Linked DNA regions of Oryctolagus cuniculus. The protein of the gene in region 3 purifies or fractionates together with the protein of the main gene of each other region. This does not show direct contact. Links are inferred from orthologs where the notes say so. Each region holds a gene or a part of one and is shown on either strand. Other genes may lie near its edges.

The links.
Region 1: the proteins of TNKS1BP1 (region 3) and CNOT2 purify together in Homo sapiens (affinity purification with mass spectrometry; 5 studies listed by BioGRID and IntAct, with this or other methods). This does not show direct contact. The link is inferred for Oryctolagus cuniculus from reciprocal best matches to the Homo sapiens genes TNKS1BP1 and CNOT2.
Region 2: the proteins of TNKS1BP1 (region 3) and CNOT11 purify together in Homo sapiens (affinity purification with mass spectrometry; 5 studies listed by BioGRID and IntAct, counting the BioPlex papers as one, with this or other methods). This does not show direct contact. The link is inferred for Oryctolagus cuniculus from reciprocal best matches to the Homo sapiens genes TNKS1BP1 and CNOT11.
Region 4: the proteins of TNKS1BP1 (region 3) and CNOT6L purify together in Homo sapiens (affinity purification with mass spectrometry; 4 studies listed by BioGRID and IntAct, with this or other methods). This does not show direct contact. The link is inferred for Oryctolagus cuniculus from reciprocal best matches to the Homo sapiens genes TNKS1BP1 and CNOT6L.

The regions. Positions count from the first base shown.
Region 1 is NC_091442.1:72,885,207-72,888,787, reverse strand, and holds part of CNOT2 (CCR4-NOT transcription complex subunit 2), read right to left. Parts: intron 1,265-3,581; coding exon 1,203-1,264; intron 1,114-1,202; coding exon 1,064-1,113; intron 1-1,063. UniProt on the Homo sapiens protein: Component of the CCR4-NOT complex which is one of the major cellular mRNA deadenylases and is linked to various cellular processes including bulk mRNA degradation, miRNA-mediated repression, translational repression during translational initiation and general transcription regulation.
Region 2 is NC_091433.1:107,379,275-107,382,855, reverse strand, and holds part of CNOT11 (CCR4-NOT transcription complex subunit 11), read left to right. Parts: intron 1-334; coding exon 335-499; intron 500-3,566; coding exon 3,567-3,581. UniProt on the Homo sapiens protein: Component of the CCR4-NOT complex which is one of the major cellular mRNA deadenylases and is linked to various cellular processes including bulk mRNA degradation, miRNA-mediated repression, translational repression during translational initiation and general transcription regulation.
Region 3 is NC_091432.1:14,816,016-14,819,596, forward strand, and holds part of TNKS1BP1 (182 kDa tankyrase-1-binding protein), read left to right. Parts: intron 1-1,859; coding exon 1,860-2,205; intron 2,206-2,455; coding exon 2,456-2,606; intron 2,607-2,742; coding exon 2,743-2,879; intron 2,880-3,581.
Region 4 is NC_091439.1:88,150,289-88,154,498, reverse strand, and holds the start of CNOT6L (CCR4-NOT transcription complex subunit 6-like), read right to left. Parts: upstream 2,802-4,210; 5' UTR 2,635-2,801; coding exon of another isoform or gene 2,630-2,634; 5' UTR 2,557-2,629; coding exon 2,552-2,556; exon of another isoform or gene 2,298-2,551; intron 1-2,297. UniProt on the Homo sapiens protein: Has 3'-5' poly(A) exoribonuclease activity for synthetic poly(A) RNA substrate.

The DNA.
Region 1 (3,581 bases), on a different chromosome or scaffold from region 3:
ACATAAATATGAGGGTACATCAAAAAGTTCACAGAACAGAATTAGATGGTAAGTTTATTTTGGTGCAAAAAATTTTGAAACCCATGCATAGTTTTTTCAAAATATGCACATTTTGGGGCAGGCGTTGTGCTGTAGTGGGTTAGGCCACCACCTGCAATGCTGGGATCCCATATGAGTGCTAATTCGAGTCCCAGCTGCTGCACTTCTGATCCAGCTCCCTGCTAATGTTCCTAGGAAAGCAGCAGAAGATGGCCCAAGTGTTTGGATTCCTGCACCCACGTGAGAGACCTGACTCCTGGCTTTGGCCTGCCCAGCCCTGGCCATTGTAGGCATCTGTGGAGTGAAACAGCAGATGGAAGATCTCTCTCCTTCTCTCTAACTCTTTCATTCATATATCTTAAAGAAAAAAAATGTGCATTTTCCATGAACTTTTTGAAGTCCTCTCTCTTCTGTTTTCTCACTAAATCATATCCTTTCACCAGGCAAAAATTTAGATACCATTTTTTTCCTAACAGAAATAAACTCTCTTGGTTCTTCCAAGGAAAAATGTTTAGCATTTTTTTCCTTAGATGAAAAAAGACAGAGTAAGATTAATTATTATACAATTAGAATTTTAGGTAATTAAAAAAAAGAAAAATACAGGGAAAAAAGCCAGAAGTCATAAATACTTTATAAAAATATATATATAATGCTTCACTAAAATTACCAAATCTGTTAATATGTGTAAAGTAAAATCATTCTTATTGACAAGTGTATAAAATGAGAAAATCAGAAGGAAATTTATCAAATTAGCTTATTCCCATCAACTGTGGTTATGGTTGTACCCTGTCATTTAATTCAAGAAATAGCTTACCAGTCCTATCATTGTTTTGTTTTTAAAATAGAAAACATCATCAACATTAGCATAAACAAAAATAAGTAAAATTGTTACATGTAACTGAACATACAAAAGCATACCCCTCAGAACACTAATTATTTAAAAAATATTATGCTATCTGAACTGAAAAACAGTACCTGGAAAATAAATTCATGCTGACTGAGTAGAATAATAAACTACACTCACCTTATCCCTAATGTGAATGTTCGTTAAGTACTCAGATGGAACATGGAAGTCTGGATAATAAAATGAAAAAAGCCTTATTAACTGATTCTCAGTTGTAAATATCTTTTTAAAAGATCTCAACACAAATAGATTCTCCTACCTATGTCTTGAGGTCGACAAGGTGAAGATGCCCAAGGTGACGCAAATTTGGGGTAGAGATTTCTGAAAAAGGGGGAAAAAAACCAATTTGAAGTCCAAAGTAGAAAAAAATATATCTAATTTTATTTCAGAAAAATCAGGAGAAACAAAGACTTAAAATATAAAATGAGCCTCTTTACTTCTAATTCCTTTTCTTGGGTTTAGTATGAGTTAAACAGCAGGAAACCAAAACAAATATGTATGTGAAAAATACAATAGGACTACTTCCCTCAACAGTCATACAGCATTAGTAACACCATGTATTAACAAATAAAAATGTTCTGCTTTTAACTGTTTCAATTCAAAATGCTTTGAATTCATCATGCCCCTAAGTTAAACTACTTTTCCATTTATGTGGCCAGGGAATAAAATGTCAGTATGAAAAGCAGTTTCAAAATCACCATTTACGGAGTGCCTATTATACGTCTGGCACTGTTCTAGGTGCTTGAGATGGATCAATGAACAAATAATTATCACTAACAACATGAAACTTTCTGATTGAAGATGGCAGACTGGAGGGAGGCAGACAATTGGCATAATAGATCAATATATAATTGCCCGTGTTAGGGGAGGGTTTGGGAGAAGAGACTGGCTGCATATTTAAAGTAGTGTGGTCAGGTAAGGTATCACTGAGGAAGTCAGATCTTAACAAAACTTGAAGGAAAAGGAGGAGATAATCATATTAATTACCGAGCAAAAAACTGCTCTTGTCAGAGGATACTGCTACACCAACTGAGGCAGGGCATGGTTGCCATACACAGAAGGAAAAGGGAAGCTGTGACACAGTGAACGAAGGGAAAAGTTGCTGAGGAAGGATGATGGGAAAGACGATCACTAGGAAGACCTTGTAGGCAAGGCTTTGGATATTTAATCCTAATGAAACTACAAACTCTTACTGAGTACTGAACAAAGGAGCAACTTATTCAAAAAGGTTTGTCCTGGCTGCTATATGAAGAGGAGATTGCTTGGGAAGGAGAAAGGGATAATCAAAGATAGTTGTTGAGTGACTAACAGAGTACCCAGGCTACAAAGAATAATGATTCAAACCAGGGTGGTAGCAGTATAAAATAGTAAGATACACTCAGATTCTGTATATATCCATATATATATCAATTAAAAATACAAGACTTCCGCAAATGACTACCAAGGGAGCAAATGTAGAGCTCTAACCAAAAAGGGTCAAGAAGAAAAGGAAGAATCAGCAAAGGAAATAAAGAAGGGTCAACCAGTGAGGTCAGGTAAGAATGGTGTCCTCAAATTAAAATGAGAATGTGTATTAAGGAGGAAGAGTTCCTAGAAGAGATCACTGAACTTAACAACAAGGGGGTCATTTCATAAGCTGAATGAGGCTAATATCAGTGGAGTGGCAGAGGCAAAACCATGATTGAATGAGTTCAACAGAAAAATTTTTTTAAAGATTATTTGTTTATTTAAAAGGTAGAGCTAGACAGAGAACTTCTACCCACTGGTTTACTCCACAAATGGCCGCAAGAGCTGGAGCTGGGCCAGTCTGAAGCCAGGAGCCCTGAGGTTCTTCCATGTCTCTCACTTGGGTGCAGGGGCCCAAGGACTTGGGCTATCTTCTGGTGCTTTCCCAAGCACAGCAACAGGGAGCTGGATTGAAAATGGAGTAGCCGGGACTCAAATGGGCATCCATATAGGATGCTGGCACCACAGGCAGTGGCCTTACCAGCTACACCAATAGTGTCAGATTATTCTTTTGTGTTTTGCTTCAAAGGAGAATAAAGAAATGGACATGTGATTCAAGGAGACAGATCAAGAGACAATTTTTCTTCTGAAAAGAGAAGTAACAGTGTATCTGTATGCTGCTGGAAATGATACCATCTAAGAGTGGAAAACTGTTAAGTTTTCATAAGAGGTTATAAATAGCATGGATTGACTATGGTAACAGAGAACAAGAAAACAATAAGGTAGATGTAGATGGCAGCAGGTACTAAGATTTGGTGGCAAGACTATGCTGATGTTGTCTTCTGATTATTTCCACCTCTCTTAGTGAAACAGAAATAAAAAGCAAGTATAGGACAGAGGGAAAGTTACAAGTTCTTATATTAAGTGTCTGTGAAAGTGTAAAACTGCTATATATATGAGAGCGAAAAAGTGAATAGACTAGGTATCCTTGGTATGATGCTGTCTGGCAGAATTAAAGGTCTATTTTTGAGGTCCTGGTCACAAAACATGAAAAGGAATCAGACAGTGAGCCTGTGCACTTTCCCCTAGTTGGGTTCATCAGAACAGAACAGGAATGGAGGCCACGGCTCAATAGGCTAATCCTCCACCTAGCGGCACCGGCACACCGGGTTCTAGTCCCGGTCAGGCGCCA
Region 2 (3,581 bases), on a different chromosome or scaffold from region 3:
CAGATGGGACTTGAACCAGCGTCCATATGAGAGACCAGTGTTGCAGGTGGTGACTTTACCAACTGTGCCACAACGCTGGCCCCAAAGTGAAGTTCTTAATAGTTACTAAAACCTTTAGTTTGGCTGATGGTGCCGCAGATCATAGAATTTTCAAATGCCAAATTTAGTTACACCGGTCATCAATGTATTTATTTGGCTAATTGAAACTTACTTGTAATTTAGTCTTTAAAAATATGGGGGTTGAGGTAGCACATAGCAAATGCTAGTTTTACCAGATTCAGGTTAATGTTTAAAATTAGCCACTGGAGAAATTGTTGTGCGTTTCTGTTTCCAGGGTTTTTACCTCCTATAACTCCACCGGAAAAGTTCTTTCTTTCCCAGCTGATGCTGGCACCGCCCAGGGAACTCTTCAAAAAGACCCCTCGCCAGATCGCGCTGATGGACGTCGGAAACATGGGCCAGTCTGTGGACATCAGCGGACTTCAGCTAGCCTTGGCGGGTGAGCCGTGGGCCTCCGGGGGTGGTAGTGCTGGTCCTCTTAGCTTTGCGTCTCTACTTCCATAAAAAATGTCGTTTCAGCACAGGCTCCTGAGGGCACGTCCTGTTTTGATGCTAATGGGGCCTCTGAGAACATTTTGAGTTTTCACTTGAAATGACTGCTTTTCCCGTTGTAGAGGAATGCTGGCTAACGTTTAGTTTCTATTAAAAATAATCCTGTGATTGAAGACTCACTTGTTAAGGTGTCAGTACTACCCAAAACAATCTACAGATTCAGGGCCATTCCAGTCAAAATCCCAGCAACATTTTATGCAGAAGTAACAAAAATCCAAAGGAATTTCAAGAGACCCTAAGGAGCCAAAACTGTTTTCTTGGCATCCTTGTCGAAAGTCCTTCTCTCCTGTTTGCCAGGGTTTATTTCTGGGCTTTCTAGTGTGTTCTCTTGGTTTGTACTTGTGTGTCTTTTTTGCCAGTACCACACTGTTTTGATTAGTGCAGCTTTGTACTAATTTTTGAAATCAGGAAGTGTTAACACTTCCAATTTTGTTCTTCTTTTTCAGGGTTGTTTTGGAATATTCTGTGCTACACATAAACAAATGAATGAGGGTTCTGAAGCAGACAGTGGGTGATGACAGAAAATAATAATAAGACCTGCTGTAGCTTCTGTTCAGGGTCAGGCTGTCTGAGTTCTGAGAAATCAGAGGATCTTTGCTTGCCTACTCTACAACACAGCTCTTGTCACGCAAGAGGGATTTACTAGGGCAGTTATTACTTTTAAAGATTTATTTATTTATTTGAAAGGCAGTTATAGAGAGGCAAAGAAAGAGAGGTCTTCCACCCACTAGTTCACTAGTTCACTCTCCACATGATCACAATGGCTGGAGCTGAGCTGATCTGAAGTCAGGAACCAGGAGCTTCCGCTGGGTGGGTGCAGGAGCCCAAGGACTTGGGCCATCTTCTACTGCTTTCCCAGGCCATTAGCAGGGAGCTGGGTCGGAAGTGGAGGAGCAGCCGGGACTAGAACCGGTGCCCATATGGGATGTTGGTGTTGCAGCTTTGGCCGCTGTGCCACAGCACCAGCTTCTCACTTGGGCAACTGTAACATGTCACTAGATTTGCAAACCCTTGATATTGTGAGTGAGCTGCAGAGTAATGTTGACAGTGCCCTATCCTCAGACCCCATATAGCACACACTGGGCTTCTAATACAAGGCCACGTGTTGTAGTAACTTACTTCTCTTTGGAACAGTCTGAACAGCACTTTTTAACTGGAGTATATCAGTATACCAATGGTTATTTTCTGAAAGCAAGAGAAATCTTCTTAAGACTTTGAAGGCTGGGGCCAGTGCCGTGGCTCACTTGGTTAATCCTCTGCCTGCAGCGCTGGCATCCCATATGGGTGCTGGGTTCTAGTCCCAGTTGCTCCTCTTCTAGTCCAGCTCTCTGCTGTGGCCTGGGAAGGCAGTGGAGGATGGCCCAAGTGCTTGGGCCCCTGCATTCTTGTAGGAGATGCGGAAGAAGCTCCTGGCTCCTGGGTTCGGATCCGTGCAGCGCCGGCTATGGTGGCCATTTGGGGAGAGAACCAATGGAAGGAAGACCTTTCTCTCTCTCTCCCTCTCACTGTCTGTAACTCTACCTGTCAAATAAATAAAATCTTAAAGACTTTGAAGGCCAAAGGAACACAAAAATACTCGTTAGCCTCTAGTGCCAGATATGATCTACTAGAAAGCAAATGGTGGTTTCCTTAACCAGAGATAGTATGAAAACTGGCTGGTGCCGAGGGGATAGGCAGCATTAGGCAGCTCCCCCTCTTAGCTGATGTGTGTTCTGAGGGTTCTTTCTATGTCTCTGGGCTTTTTCCTCCATTTGCCTTATGGTCTTTCATGGACTTTTGTAGCTCCTTAATGAGGATTGAGCCTTCTTTGTTTAAAATGACACAATCCAGACCACAGCTGCTTGGAGGGCTTGTCACGCGGTAAACCACAGCAGCGGCCAGCCCAGGTTAGGGAATGGAGGCTGCTGCCTGCTGCCCCCTCACCCCCCATCACTAGCCTGACGTCCGTCCATGATACGCTGTCTCCGTTTGCTTGCCGGCCTTCCCGCCTTCCCCCCCGCCCCTGCCTACTTCATGCACTGGGTACAGGTTTCCTCACTGGGCCTCTCCTCCTGTTGAGTGTTGAGCTCGGAGTGCAGGGTGGCGCCGAGTCTCTGCCGTGGCTGCCTGTCACTGCTGTTGGTATGTTCGTGCAGTAGGATATCGGTTGTTTAAGCTGCGAGCATTGCCAAGACTCCTGTGTTTCCTCTTGGAAAGATAGGCACGTGTCACACTTCACTAGGTGTGTTACTCAGCTTTTTGCTACGTTAACAAAATACCTCACACCTGTTCCTTAGAAAGAGAAGTGTATTTACCTCATGGTTTTGAAAGCTTATGTGGCACAGGGTCTGGTGAAGGTGTGGCGTGTGTGCCAGGCTTGCCCCTTTTACAGTAACCCTCTCCTGAGAACTCAAGGGTCCCGGGGATCCAGATCCCCTCTGAAGGCAAATCTCCAGTGACCCAAGGATCTCCTGCTAGGCCCTGGGGACCCAGCTGATAACACCTTCTAACTTTTGGGGACCCTTGGGGGATAAACCAAATCCACATCATAGCAGCAGGTAATGTCACACTGTCCTCCAAAGTCGCCATGCCTTTTTTCATCCCCAGGAGCAGTGTGTGTGACCCTATGTCCTCTGCACTTGATAATAACACCCTCATTAACTGGTCAGTCCTGGTGAGTGTGTGTTATCCTGTGCTTTAACTGAATTCCCCTAGGTTCCTATGGGATTAAATAGCTTCAACTGTTTATTAGTCACTTAAGCTTCCTTGTAAAATGCCTGTTCATTAGTCTAACTTTTCCTGTTTTTTTCCAAGTTGATTTGTAGCAGTTTAAGAATATATTATGCATACACAGAGTCTGGCCCTTTGGCCTTTTATCTTGGTGTGTTGCAGACAGCTTCCTCCGGTTAGTCTGTCTTTTCTATTGCCTCTTGGTGCCCTCGGTTTTACAAGTTTCCTCCTGTACCCTTTTCCAGAACGCCAGTCTGAAT
Region 3 (3,581 bases):
CGCCCTTCCCAAGCCTCCCTGACTTTAAGCTGCCCGTCAGGGTGGGTTGGCTTTGGCCCCCAGCCAGGGCCGCTGTCCCTGCCGCTGCCTTGCTGCGCTGCTGCCTCCCTCCCTCCCTCCCGCCCCCCACCCCCGCCTGCTTTAATTCCAACTGTCAGCAGCTTGTGGAAGGACAGACTGACACGTTCTCCCTCTCCCTGCCCCCTCTTCCTGTTCCACATTGACTCACCTGCCTCACTCTCCTCCCCCGCCAATCCCGCTGGGAATTCGGCGTCCTGGCTTCCGGGCACTGCCCTGCCAGCCTTTCCCACACTTGAGTGCGCGGTGTGAGTGTGTCGGGCGTGGCTCTTTGCGGAGCCGTGGGTGCCAGCACGCCCCCTCCCTGCCAGAGGTGTGGGTGCAGCACGTTCATGGTTTCGGGAGTGGCAGCTGGACATCAAGCAGGTGCCGATGAGAGTGTGTCTGTGCCGTGCTTTGCTTTGCAGGAGCAGCAGGCAGAAGATGCCTGAGCTGCGTCCAGGTCCAAGGTGACCCAGTGTCTCTTTCACTCTGCAAACATTTGCTTGGTCCGGCTCCTGGCCAGGCACAGGGCCAGGTGCTGGGGGCATAGAGGCAAAAAGGAGAAAAAGGCCCTGACTTTGCCCTTGAGGAGTTCCCAGACAGGCCGTGGTGACAGAGTGGCAGAAGTAGGCGCTGGCACAGGCGGAGCCCATGCTGTAAGGCTGAGAAGGCCCACAGTGGCCGGGGGCAGGGCAGGCTGGGGGCATGGAGGCAGGACCTGAACTTGAAATGAGGGGAGAACCAGTGAGAGGATATCTGGGTATGTGGGGAAAGCTTGCCAGGCGAGGGCAGCTTGTTCAGACAGCACTCAGTGTGGGCCGGGAGTGTGCTGCCCTTCCAGGTGGCTCTGAGACATTGGGAGCAAAGGGCTGTGGCATGGCGGGGGCATGGGGCTGAAGATGACCAGAGTTGAACAGGCAGGCAGGCAGGCCAGCACCTGGCCCATCCCAAGGAGCGTTACAGCCCCAGCAGATACCCCTGGGAGGGAGCACTTTGATAGCATGGAATGTAGGTGCACTAAATGTTTTATATAACATTGTGTCCAGTCTATGTGTGTAAGGTGTACATAAATACAAATGAACTTTGTGTGTGTGTGGGTGTGTATTTTTTTTTTTTTTAAGATTTATTTATTTGAAAGGCAGAGTTACAGAGAGAGAGAGAGCGAGAGAGAGCGAGCGCTCTTCCATCCTCTGACTCACTCCCCAAATGGCTGCAATGGCTGGGGCTGTGCCAGACCAAAAGCCAGGAATCCAGAGCTTCCTCTGGGTCTCCCATGCAGGTGCAGAGACCCAAGCATTTGGACATTCTCTGCTGCTTTCCCAGGTGCACCAGCAGGGAGCTGGATTAGAAGTAGAACATCCGGGTCTCAAACCAGCACCCAAGTAGGATGCCGGTGTCACAGGCGGTGGCTTAACCCATGCTAGGCTGCAACACCGGCCCCAAGTTTCCTGTTTAGACTTGGGTCCTGTCCCCAGAGTATCTCACGTGTATGCAGATATTACAAAATCTGGGAAAAACCTGGAATACGGAGCACTTCTGGTCCCAAGCATTCAGATAAGGCAAGCTCCATCTCTAGTATGTGGCAGACTGGGACTTTGAACCCCCCAGGCCGGCCCAGCCCTCCTTCCCCCCGTGTGCTGTGCTGCTCAAGGCCCTGACCCTGTCCTTGCCACAGGAGTCTGGGCAGGAGAGGGAGGGAGAGGCTGGGGCAGGAGCAGATGACTCCTGTGAAGTGGGCTCAGGAGGCTGGGGAGGTGGGCCTCATGGGTGACCTTGTTCTCTGTCCATCCCCCTTGCAGCCCCAGTGGGTGCCTGGCCCGTTCCCCGCCCTCCGGCTCCCAGGACCTGCTGGAGGACATGCTGGCATCTGGCAGCTCCAAGGCTGGGGCCCGTAGGGAGTCAACTGCTTCGGGCCACAGGGACCTGTTGGAGGATGAAGGAGCCGCAGCGAGTGCTGACCAAGGGGAGCCTTTGCCCGCCTGGAGACCCCAGCCTGATGGTGAAGCCAGCCGGGTGGAAGAGGTGGATGGCAGCTGGGGCCCGGCAGGGGCCAGGCAGGGCGAGCAGGGGCCAGCCCTGAGCCCTTGGCGCCCTCCGCAAGGGCCTCCCCCCAGCACTCCCAGCCAGGACTTCTCCTTTATTGAGGTCAGTGGAGGGTGAGCCCAGGGCTGCGGGTGGGCTGCGGGTGGGCTGCTGGCGGTGCAGGGGCGTGGCGGATGGCGCCAAAGCCCCGTTGATGGAGTTTCCCAGAGGAGCCTCAGCCTGGGAAGAAGGCTGGTGGTGGTGGTGGGGTCCTGGGAAAAGGAAGCTCCACCTGCAGCTGTTGGGGGCGCTCCTGTGGGTGGGGCAAGGCCATGGCGCAGGGATGGCAGGGTGTCACCATTGTCCTAAGCAGGATACTGAGGTCCTTGACAGTGCCATGTACCGGAGCCGTGCCAACCTAGGACGCAAGCGTGGCCACCGAGCCCCAGCCATCCGGCCAGGGGGTACCCTGGGCCTGTCGGAGGCGGCAGAGTCGGATGCACGGCTGTTCCAGGACTCCACGGGTAGGGGCAATGTCTTCTTTGGTGGTGTTTCCGTTGATGTTGGGGTTAACTGGGCCCGGGTTGGCAGGGTGGGAGGTGAGGGTGGACATCTAGCGATGCTGCCTGCACTCACCTCCTCCCTCCCGGGCCTGTGCAGAGCCACGAGCTGCTCGGGTGCCATCTTCAGACGAGGAGGTCGTGGAGGAGCCTCAGAGCCGCCGGACACGGATGTCCTTGGGCACCAAGGGGCTGAAAGTCAACCTCTTTCCTGGCCTGAGCCCGTCAGCCCTGAAGGTATCATCGGATCATTCAGCAGACACGTGCAGCCCCTGGACCAGCTGACCACCTTGCATCCAGCCTTTCTGCTACCCATCCTTCTACTCATCACCCATTTCCCATGCCTCTCCATTCTGCTCTCCAGTGAGGGCCTCAGGAGATCCCTTCGGGCCCTGGTGGACCCTGTGCTGTGTGCTAAGTGGGATGGAAGGAGAACACAGTGTGTTCTGGTCCAGGAACCTCAGGAGTAGTAGTGGACTTGAGCCATGCTCATAACTAGCTTGGGTGAAGGGGGAAGTTTAGGAGTCACCAGGGTAGGCATAGATAAGGGCTGGGCCTCTCCAGAGAGGGAGGAGTTTACTTCCTGAGGGTGGGTGTGAGGGGGAGGGAGGGTGGCTTGGGAGGGTCTCAGGAAAGCACCTGCCCTCAGCCTTGAGGTAGGACAGCCGTTGGCTGTGGGTCCTGGGGCAGTTGGAGGCATTGCAGACAGAGGGAACCGATGAGCAAATGCATAGGAATGGGAAGTGACCGGTCCAGCTTGTCTGAATGCAACCCGGCGGTATGTTTCTGAGGACCTACTGTGTCCTGGCTCAGCTCCCAGGGGAGCTCACCTCTAAGGGCACTGGGGTAAACAGACTGCAGAGGAGTCAGTGCGTGGTCCTGGGGACTGCGTGGCGCTCCGTGAGACCTCCTGCCTGTCCCTTTTACACCTGTCTGCAC
Region 4 (4,210 bases), on a different chromosome or scaffold from region 3:
ATTCCAAAGGATTTCGTTTACTGGAATCAGACAACATGAGCTATTTTTGTAGCACTTAACTCTGGATTTCTATAGGTAAATTCTGGTTCCTTGATCCTTTTTAATACTTGAGTATACTAGAACATATATGCTATGTGTGCTTAAAACTTTTTTCCAAGGTTATATAACAAAAACCCCTAAGAGGTAATGAAACTTAGAGATTAGCAATTAAAAAATAGGAAAAATATCATGGGGCCTGCGCTGTGGCTTAGCGGGTAAAGCCGCCGCCTGCAGTGCTGACATCCCATATGGGCGCCAGTTTAAGATCCGGCTGCTCCATTTCCAATCCAGCTCTCTGCTGTGGCCTGGGAAAAGAGTACAAGAATACAAGTCCTTGGGCCCCTGCACCCATGTGGGAGACCTGGAAGAAGCTCCTGGCTCCTGCCTTCGTATCGGCCCAGCTCCGGACGTTGCGACCATCTGGGGAGTGAACCAGGGGATGGAAGACCTCTCTTTCTCTCTCTTCCTCTCTCTGTGTAACTGTGACTTTAAAGTAAAGTAACTACAAACTAATATACTAGCCCATTATATATATATATACACACACACACACACACACACTCACACACACTAATATACTACAAACTAATATACTAGCCATTTTAATATTTCTAGAACAAAGTTTTATATGCGTTGTTTTTTATACTTTATGTACAACCAAGGACAGAAATATTCTATTGTCATGATTTTAAGCTTATAGTTACATAATATTGTTTTGGGTAATTAATCGGTACTTATGTTTTTCAATGTTGATAGGGCTGCAAGAGGCAGAACTAAAATTTAACTAAGCATCTACTACGTACCAAACGTTTTCTCATTCTAATCTCATAACTGTAGTATCATAAAGGTATTATCACTCTATTTCAGATTAGAAAACACAGTCCTGTAGAAACAAGATACCTTGCCTAAGGTCAAAATAGCTAAGAAAAATGGCATAGCTGGGATTGTAACTGAAGTCTGGAAAACATCCTTTTTCCACTAAACTGCATGTGCTAAGTTGTTCTTCCAGGAGTGCCAACAGAAAACATCCATCTCTTGCTAGGGAGCAGCATGCACTATTTCTTCGTGAGACCTGGTTCAGACAGGGACAAGCAACCTCTGGCCGGAACTCAAAACACAGCCCACAAACGCTCAATCTGTACTATGGCTTTATCCATAGTGGAGTTCTAGCTAGATGAGCTAGTAACTCCGTTCCAATGTAAAGAGGGTGGAGTCGACAAAAGTAAATCAGCAAATAATTATCCAAATGCCATTTACACTTGGTTCTGAAACACACTGCACGCCTATGAGCTAGCAGGCTTCTCTTCGTAATTGCGTTTTGCTTAAGACTACTCTCCCAACAGCTTTCCAGGAGCACACACCGAGTACACAATAGAGGCTGCCTGCTCGACGCTTCGACTGACGACGAGGACCACGAGAGGCGGGAAGGTAGCCGCATCTCCCCAAAGGCAGCGCTGCCCTTCCACTGCGTACACACGGCTCCCCTCAACTCCAACACAATCCACCTCGAGAGCCCAAGCCAAGCGGGCGGCCGAGTTCAGGAGCATGACAGCTCCAGGAACTTCCTCTTCCTCCCCGACCTCCCGGCTTGGCTTGGCTCGGCTCGGCTCGGCTGGGCTCGGCTCGGCTCGGCCCGGCGCGAACACGCCTTTCCCCTAGGAGGCAGGAGACGACAATTTCAAATGCACAACGCCGAGCCAAGCCACCACCACCACAGGCCAGCAAAGCCCGGTTCCCGGTGTTCCCCCGCCCCTCCCAGCGAATCGACCTCGTGGAAGCAAAAAAAAAAATTACATCTCACCAACCAGAAAGTATTTGCAACACAAAACGCAAATGTTTTCTCAGTCCCTCCACGCAGCCCGAAGGGAAGTGGTCCCGACAGCGCGTCTTCTCCCCGATGGACTGCTCCGAACCACTTTCCCTGGGGTCCCCGCGCCCGTGGAACGCCAAAATAAGCCTTCGCCTCTCCTCGGGGGACGCGGAGGCGGCCGGGGCGACGGCAGTCGGCGCGTCCCGCCTCCGACTCTCACCTGCCCAGGCCCGAGGCACCCCCGTGCGCCCGCGCGGGCTCCGCGTCCCGGGAGGCGTCCGGGCGGGCGGGCGCCGAGGCGGTTAGGCCGCGCTGCAGGCCGGCGCGCTTCCTGCCGCGGCCGCGGCCCCGGGAACCCAGACCCGCAGCTCGCCGGGCCGTGCCGCCTCGCGTGGGCCGCACTCGCTCACCTCCCTGCCCGGCGCGGCCCCCGCGGGGCAGCTCTCACCTGCGAGGCTCGGGAGCCTGGGCCACAAAGCGGGAGGGACACGCCACTCGGGGGTCCCGGCCGCGGGCGTGGACGCCCCCCGACACTCCACACACACACCCGGAGCCTTCGCCCGCCTCCGACCAGCGCGGGTCACCCCGCCGCCCCCTCCGGTCACTCGACACACACACACACACACACCCACTCGCGGGCCGTCAGGCCGCCCGCCAAAGTCCCAACTCGCACACCCACACGCGTATTTGTCCCTCTCCCACCTCATGTCCCCGGGGACGCGCTAGTCCTCCCCAACGCTCGCGATCGGTCCGACTCGGAGGCACACACACACACTCTACCTCATTCTCTGCCTCCGGCCCACAAGGAGCAACAGCAGCCATTTCCCCGCGGCAGGGGAAACACCACACACACTCACACAGACACACACGCCCGCGAGCGCGAGCGAGCGAGCGCGCGCGCGCGCGCGCGGGCCCCCACAGATGCTTCCCCTCCGGAGCCGCGGCCGCAGACGCAAACACAAACACCCACGCCCGCCCGCCCGCCCCGAGGGGAAGCCGCCGCGGCACGCCGGGGCCCGGGGCCCGAGGCTCGCGGGCGGCCGGGCGCGCCGGCCCCGGGGTCGCGGAGGGCCTGCCTGGTCCCGCACCCCTCCTCACCTGCATTCAGCGCGCCAGGGTCCGGGCGGCGGCGGCGGCGGCGGCGGCGAGGCGGCTGGCGCTGGGGCTGCGGCGGCGGGGGAGGCGGCGGCGGCGGTGGCGGCGGGGCTGAGGGCAGTAAAGACATGCAGGCAGCCCGCCGGGGGGAGAGGCACCGGCCAGAGGGGACGCAGGGCGGGCGGGCCGGGCCGGGCCGCCTGAGGAACGGCAGAGGCGGCGGCGCGGAGGGCGGCCGGAGGGAGCGAAACGGAGCCGGAGCGGGGAGGGGGACGAGGGCCGCGCCGCTGGGCTTCGAGGACGGTGGCCCTGGTCGCACTGGAGAGGCCCCGCGGCCGCGGCCGCTGACGCGAAGGCCTCCGCCGCCGGAGGAAGCTGCGCCCCCGCAGCTGCCGAAGCCGCGGCTATAGCTCCGAGAGCCTCACAGAGCCCGGCCTTGGCCTTGGCCTCCTGGTGCTGGGGCTGCTGCCGCCGCTGCGGGGGTTGCTGCTGCGCCTGGTGCTGCCGGGGCCTTGGCTGAACAGAGACGCCAGCTTTCGGTGCCTTCGTTCTCGCTCACACACGTTCACAACCCCCCGAGAGCCGGGGGAGAGACGTCCGGGCAATATCGGTATTGAGATTAATAACAAGGTGCAGAGAGTGCGAGAAGGAGGAGGGTTGATTGACGTGGAGGGGCTGGCGGGAGTCAGTCACTCCCCGGCGCTGAGGGGTGGGGTGAGGGGGAGGAGGCGGAGCGGCCGCGGGGCGGAGCTCCAGGCGCGCGCCTCGGGCCCGCCCCTCGCGCGCCGCGGTCGCCGGTCGTGCGCGTGCGCGTGCGCGCGCGGCGGCGGCCTGGGGGCTGGCCGTTTTCTGCTTGACCCTTGTCGTTTTCTTACTCAGTCCTCTCTGTGGACGCGGGGAGGAAGGCTGAGAAGGCTGGGTGGGGTATCAGGCCAGCGTTTACTAAGTCGTGCGGCAGGAGACGGAAGAACGCGCCTCGCTGCGCGCTCGCCTCAGGCGGCCCGAGAGCCGCCGAGCGCCGGTCTCGGCTGCTAAGGAGACGCCGGCTGCGGCGAAGTGAGCGAAGCAAGGGTTTCCTGACAACTCCGGTTTTTTGTTTTTGGTTTCACGTGTAACTCCTGTAAGTTGTGTCGTGAAAGGTAAATAAAAGAATGCGTGGAGATAGCTCCGTCCTAGTTTCGCATCCTCCCTTCTCGCGGTAGAATTACGCTCCTGGGGCAGTTTATTTGTGCCAGCTACAGAATGAAAACATCCGAATGTAAACTA